Mus musculus: one gene and its partner. The protein of the gene in region 1 interacts with the protein of each later gene in a pairwise test. Links are inferred from orthologs where the notes say so. Each region holds a gene or a part of one and is shown in the gene's direction. Other genes may lie near its edges.

What was found. The genes of interacting proteins can lie anywhere in the genome.
Region 2: the proteins of Smyd1 (region 1) and Fam204a interact in binary tests that used the Homo sapiens proteins (3 or more experiments, as listed by UniProt). The link is inferred for Mus musculus from reciprocal best matches to the Homo sapiens genes SMYD1 and FAM204A.

Annotation. Positions count from the first base shown.
Region 1 is NC_000072.6:71,217,275-71,220,927, reverse strand, and holds part of Smyd1 (histone-lysine N-methyltransferase Smyd1), read left to right. Parts: intron 1-1,506; coding exon 1,507-1,670; intron 1,671-3,653. UniProt on the Homo sapiens protein: Methylates histone H3 at 'Lys-4' (H3K4me), seems able to perform both mono-, di-, and trimethylation. Acts as a transcriptional repressor. Essential for cardiomyocyte differentiation and cardiac morphogenesis.
Region 2 is NC_000085.6:60,220,150-60,223,802, reverse strand, and holds part of Fam204a (protein FAM204A), read left to right. Parts: intron 1-2,498; 5' UTR 2,499-2,506; coding exon 2,507-2,749; intron 2,750-3,225; coding exon 3,226-3,313; intron 3,314-3,442; coding exon 3,443-3,473; intron 3,474-3,653.

The DNA of each region.
Region 1 (3,653 bases):
GTGAGAGCACTTTTAACAGAAGACAGTGATGGGGAAGAGGATGGAGAGGGAGGGAGGGAGGGAGGTATGTGAAGAGAAAAGGGAGACCACTGAACAAGTTGCACTCCTGGAAGGCTGTTTCTCTTCATGCCCTTCCATCTTAGCACCCACTAAGGACATATTCTCAATGCCCGCCGAACCCAACGAGATCTGGCCCAGGAGAGCAGAAGCTGCCGGGCCCTGAGTTAGGGATTGGGGAGATGCCCGTGACAGCTCGTGAGTCATCAGAAATGGAAGAGTGGACACTGAGAGTGGCCTGCCTGCCTTTGCATCACTGAGTATAAGCCTCTTACACCCTGTCGCTGCACACTGGGCATTCAACGTTGGCTCCTCTGGCTGTATACTATAATCACCTGTGTAAACGCCTCATGCCCTCCCCCAACCAGGACAATTTCTCTAAAAGTCTCTGCTAGAGGAATCTAGGCATCAAGGTTTTGCAGCCTCCACAGGTTTTCAGTGTGCAGCCAAGTGGTCGGCAGAGCTAATGCTGGGTTGGTTTTTGGAAACAAGGTCTTTGTGTGTAATAGAGACTGGCCTTCAACTCTCTATCTTCCTGAGTATGGGAATGACAGCATATACCATCATACCTGACAAGTTAATCGCAGTGACATGTTGGAAGTTTATTCTTGTGTCTTGCCCTCTGAGCTGGGATCTATCACTGAAATAGAACAGAAGCACCGTGAGTCAGTGCCTTCCCCCAAGCTCGCTGTGCAGCTTGGATGAGCCAGGTGTGGCTGCCACTAGGGTGTGTTAGTATAGTAGTTAATTTTACTTCATGCCTGCTTCATTTCCCTTCTTTTCCTCCTTCTCCTTTACTATGTATGAGCCCTTACTATGGTGCCCAGTGTAAGGCAGTCTCCTTAGCCCCTGAGTCCTGTCAGATGGGAGGAAGCCATGAAAACTAAGTGTTCTGCATGGTAGGGAATCTATGAAAAAGGCATGTGTTAGGAGCCACAGCAAGGGTGGAGGGGTGTCAGTCCCCGGACTCCATTCCTCTGTTCTACCCTCTTCACTTCTGTCCCCCAAGAACATCACAGGCTGATGACTAAGCCTTAGGGTGGGCACTTACCCAAACAATCTCAGTACATTTACTTTGCATATATTCACACACACATATGCGCATATACATACTATATATATTATATGTATATATACATATTATATATATACAGAGAGAGCATATATAGAGAGATATACACACATGCATGCATATATAGTTTCCATAGCTCTGCTGTCTACTGACTGAAAACTCCTCTCTTTGTTGTGTCATCTTTATGTCCCGACTCTATCCTTTCCCATGCCTATATCTTAGCCACGCAGACCATTTTGTTAGTTCAAACCACAAAGTTTGTTTTAATTTTTCCACCAGGTTTCAAAGAGTGAGTCTAGTGTTGTCTTGATGTTCCACGTGTCGGTTAAGACATACTCTGGTACTGTAATGATGAATGAAGCTGTGTCTCCCTCCAGGTTGTGAAGCTGTGTCGGGAGTGCCTGGAGAAGCAGGAGCCAGTGTTCGCCGACACCAACCTCTACGTGCTTCGGCTGCTCAGCATTGCATCAGAGGTCCTCTCCTACCTCCAGGCCTATGAGGAGGCCTCACATTATGCCAGGAGGATGGTTGATGGCTACATGTAAGTGATGGTCCTGAGTCTCAGGTAGTCTCCCGGACATCCTCTGTTCCAGGGATGCCAAAGAGATGGCACACATTTGACTGTTCCTCTTATACCCACAAACGGCATCAGCCACAGGCCATGGTCATGGTCAGGCTTCTCCTTACAAATGAACCTTTTTATCATGTTGTTCCAAGTAATAATGATCAAATAATGATGTCGGACCTGGTCCTCAGGTGAAACCTAGTTGTCATCTCTGGTTTATTTGTGTACACATTCCTTACTTGTCACTTGAGCCATGTCTTTTACCTTTGATTTTCCTAAAAGAAGCTTGATTTTAAGTGCTTGGAAAGTTTTTTTTTTTCCCTTTAATAACCTATGACCAATCTGTAACTCATAGGTCTTGGCCTTTGGCACTTATCCAAACCATAGCAATGTATTTACACTTTGTATATCTTTATATGAGTATACATGTGATATATATATATATATATATATATATATATATATATGTATGTATATGTGTGTACATATGTGTGTATGTATATATATAAATAAAACATGTGCATAAGTTTCCGCAGCTCTACTATGATGAGAGAGGCCATTCTTGCTTATAAATTATAATATGTTGCTTTCTTATTCCCTTCCACCAATGTTCTCTCTTACTGTTTATGTTCATATTATCATAGAAATTTGTGTTTCTGGTCAGATGAGTAAGTTGTCATGAGAAGGCTTTTCTTTAGAGGATGCTGCTCATTAAAAATGCAGGTAAACTGTAAGCATGCTAGGAAGGAGCCCTGCTAGGAGAAGAAATGAGTGCAGCCCCAGGTGCCACAGACAATCTGGGTCCCTGGTCTGTGAAGAACGGGATTTCTTAGGCAGATGGACAAAGAGTTTGGATGAAAATGACAGACAGATACACGAAAGATGTGTTGAATCTGAATGTAATGTTCTGGTTGAGCTTCAGACTTATATAACAACGAATTATCAGAGGATACAAATCACAAAAAGACAAGATACACTGAAATTCACCAGTTACAGCAGAAAGGAATTTACAGGGACTAATTAAATGTTTACATTAGGGATAACAAGCCCTGCCTAGGATCAGCCTAATGCCAGGCAAGAATTTCACACTTTAAGGTTAAAAGCATCAGGGGGTTGTTAACTCTTGACAGGCCTTAAGAGTAATGCGCTATCACAGAGCTCTAAATTCTTAGGTCTAGTAAAACTTATCTTGTCTGGAGAGTTTCCCCTTATCAGGGTAGTATATCAACTTATACTTGACATGGAAGTAGCCTGTAGTAAAAGATTTCTATCTCAGTGAGACTTTTAGTCTCTATCTGTAAACAGCTGAGTAAAATGGCAAGTGCTTAATTGTTTACTGAATGGGTTAAGCTCCTTGCTGCTATCTGGAATCTAAGAACACTGGAAAAGGGCTTTAGCTATGTTAGAATACAATCTTAAAAGGCATTTACTATAAGGTAAAGCTATATAGAGTGCACGTGGATCCATACACTAGACTAATGTGGGTTTGGAAAATTAATTTTATGGGTTAGGGAAATAGCCAAAGATCCAGGAGTAAGTTTCCTTGAAACTTTTTCCTCATGAGAAAGCTTTCAGACTTTCATCTGTCAAGCTGACTCCACCGGAGTCCCTGGCACCCAGGAAGGACATTAAAGTTACATTTTCCACCTTGAGCTTTTTTTCATGTCCCCCAGAGAACTGGGGGTGCTCCAGATGGTACCTGCCTCTCTATGCTCAGGCTCAGAGTACACCTGTGACCCTCTTTGTCTATGAAGCACTGACTCGATGGTTCAGATCAGATTCCCAAGTCTCCTGACCTCACTGTGTAGAACATTAGCCAGCTCTATGCATTTCAATATCTTATGACAAGCTGCTGGTGCCTAATAGCAGTAGTGGGACGACTAGATGGACTTTATCTGTAAGAGTACTGGCTTTGATATCATTTCTGTCTACTGTGACAGAGTACCCCGAGAGAAACAG
Region 2 (3,653 bases), on another chromosome or scaffold:
AGTATGGATTTGGAGGATCTTTTAACTTTTCCTCTTTCTTCAGGTCCATTTAAGAAACTGTCAAACCAGGAAAATACCGTATCAGCATATTAAATGCTTTATCATCAGTCAATAAGAGTAATTTTGAGAAAGTTCAAAAAGCCGTGAAAACTGGGTAGCTGCCTGAAAACTGATGAGGAAATGATACCTTCTATAGGGTACCTGAGACCGCTCTCCTTGGGGAATCACATTTGAATGTCCAGAATATAGATTGTGAAACTCCAGATGTGCTCAAACAGCAGCCTGCCATGCTGTCTAAGGCCCAGGCCGAGTGACATTTCCATGCTGCGGTGCGGATTCTGGTCTGTGAAGCTCCTGGTTCTCCTTTGTGTACTTTGGTTCCTAGACTCTTGAGAGTATCTAGCGTGCAGTGAACTGCCATGGGCAGTTCTTCTATAGTAGGCCCCAGGCATGCTTAAAAAATGCCTGAAATTGTTAATTTTAACATCCTCAACTAGATAACGAACCTAAAGGTGATGCAGATGCTTCACTACGCTGTTCTCGCTGGCTCATTTCACAGTGTATCTCAAGACTTCATTCATCTTGTCTTTTAAAACCTAAGACCAAGCTTGGAGGAGATGCAGGTTTTATAAGTCAAAACACTTATAATTTGGGGGTCTCTACTTTGAGCTGAACTTATGTTCTGGATGGAAAGTTACACACTGTAGTTTAGAGCAAACCTTTATAAGTGAGAAACATTAATATTTGAGTTTCATTCATTGTCTGATTGTCTGCCTCTTATTTTACTGCTCTATTCAGAAGGCCAAGCACAAGGTTATTCAGAGAAGCTTCGTGTCAGACTGCAGATCAGGGTGGGGAACATGATTCGTATCAGTTGACAAATGAAACGCTTCAAATATTAGAAACTTCAGAGGTATCTTATGGGTTCTTCGTCCATACTAGGAGTGATAAAAATGCATTCATGGCCACAGAAATGATAGCAAGAACCACTGAACAGTTGGTTTTTTTTTTTTTCTTTTTGACGCACAGTTCAAATTTATTTATTTATTTTTTAAATTTTAACACTAAACGTTGAGCCCCTAGAGCCTCCTGAATGCTGTGGAGTACTGTATCTCATTTAATCCTCAGACGAACCAGTGTAATTATCCTGTGCCACAGATGAAGAAACTGAGGATCAGGGTTGTTAAGTAATTTCCTTCTTCCTCTAGAGGAACTGGAGTCAGGAGTCCAGTTGAGTCTTCTTAAAAAGCAAGAGAATGTTTCAGAAAGTCAAATACTGATAAACATATCCTAAAACACAAAAATACTGCTTCTTTGAATCTGAGGAGGTCCTTAAAAGAAATATGTAATTCAGAGTAATGCAGAGATCCTGATACCTGTGACCTGCAGAGAATGAGGAGACCCAGCAAGATAGCTTTCTGTTCTTCACTGATGATGAAATATGAGAAATGCAATCAATTTGGGCTCAGTTGTATGGAAAAAATAGGCTGTATTATGGAGATCAAATGAAACTTTGATAATCTTTGCACATGATTACACGAATTCTAAAAGTCATTTTCATGAAACTTAATGATTATACCATTGGGCAATACAGATAATGCCAAATACTATGTTAAACTTATTTCCCAAATACATACTATTGTTACTCAAGAGAGCTGTATGCTTGTTAAAATTTTAGATTTATATTTCATTTAATTTTACCAAACTGTAAAATTTAAAACTAGGATATATTCTTTTACCTCCACACTTTTAAAATTTTATTTAATTATATTTTTTTACATTTATATATGTGTATGGGTGTGGGTGTCCATGCCATAGCACATAGATAGAGGTCAAAAGACATCTTGCAGTTGTCTCTCACCTACCATGTGCGGTGGAACTCAGGTCGTCAGGGCTGATGACAAGTGCCTTTACTTGCTGAGCCATCTTGTTGGCACATACTGCTACACCTTTTAAAATACAGATGTACAACTTAGTTTTTTTTCTTTGTTTTCCTGCTTCTTAGACAACATGCCTTTTGAAAGTTATATATGCTTCAGTGTAGATGACACATCCACCTTTATTTTCTTTTATGGGCACAGTGAGAAACATGGTATTTTGAGCCTTAAATTAGTTGTGATGTTTCACGTGTATAATTGCAGCATTTAGGAGGCTGAAGCAGGAGGGTCTTCGGGAATTCTTGGCCTGCCTGGGCTCTAGAGTAAGGCCCTGTCTTAGTAAAAGAACAAAACAAAATAAAAATTTAAAACTACATTGTTTTAAGTTCCTACTGACATTCTTGAGCCATGAGTGCTTTACTGAGCGTCGTTTAGGCAGAAGAGTCCATACTTAAGAAAATCAGGGTTCTGTTTTATCCATTTTAGATTTTAAAGTTTAAATTGGCTGTCCTTAGGTCATTGGCAGACATATTGGTCTCCTGTGGTATCTGTTAGTGGTTTTAAAATAGTTTCCATGGCTACTCTTTGAGTTTGAATTCATCCTTCCCTTTCTCCTATTAGAAGAAAAGATGTGGAGTGGGCTGTTACCTCCTGGACTAAATGAAAGTGATGTTGAATCAGATTCTGAGGATGAAATCAAACTAGAGAACCCAGAACCTTCAGAACATAATTTACAGGAAGATGGAAAGACTGGCAGCAGTACGAAGCCAGCAGTGTCAGACTTCCCGACAGGCCAGCCAGAGACGGAGACAGAGGCTGATGCGGATGCATATGAGAAGTGTCCTTCTGGGATTCCCTTAAACATATGGAATGTAGGTTTCCCTTTGTGTGGTTAGGAAAGTATGCATGTTCATGTGTTCTCTGTGCTGTGGGCAAAGTATGTTGGGATATAACAGACAGTAGAGGGGCCTCAGAACAGATTCTACTGTTGGATACTAGTTTTATTTTACATAAGTAGAAGTAGTAAAACCTTCATAGGATTATCTACTTCATAGGATTATCTACCTAACATGATAAAGGAGTTTATTTCTTTATTTCTTCCTTTAATTATATGAGTTATTGAGCTTCATTCTCCACTATCAAACAGCTTATATCAAAACCAGTGAATGCCCCAATTCAGCTGAGAGTTGTGAGGACTAAAGTATTTCAAGAACAGAATTCCTTAGTTGGTGGCTTTAGAAATGGCAGAGCATAAGGATTTCTATTTAACATGTCTGTTCCTTTTTAAACTGTATGTTTATCTTCAGTCACACACACACACACACACATCTTTTCTCCTTTTACATAGAAATTTCAAGAATTGCATAAAAAAAATTCTGAACAGAAAAATTCAACGCCAAGATTCAGACAGAAAAAAAGAAAACGCTCCAAAAAAGGTGTTTATTTTTAAATTTAGATTGTTAGTTATGCTAACTCTTAAGTTGATTAATTGAATTAATTTCTTAAAACATGATTTTGAAATAATAGCTGCATAATTAAGTATTGACACTCTAAATTTCTTTTAGGCAAATTGAAGAATGAAAAGGAATCTCACAGGTAGGTAGATTTTAAAGTAGTTACTATTCAGCAGTGTTGTGGGATTTTCTAGATTGCTGCACTACTTACCTTTGGTAATGATCAGACATGAGAAGTAGTCATTGAAGTGTAATTATTGCAACCAGTTAAAAATAGACAAAGTAAAAAGAGCCATAATTTATGTACATAGAGTTAATTTAT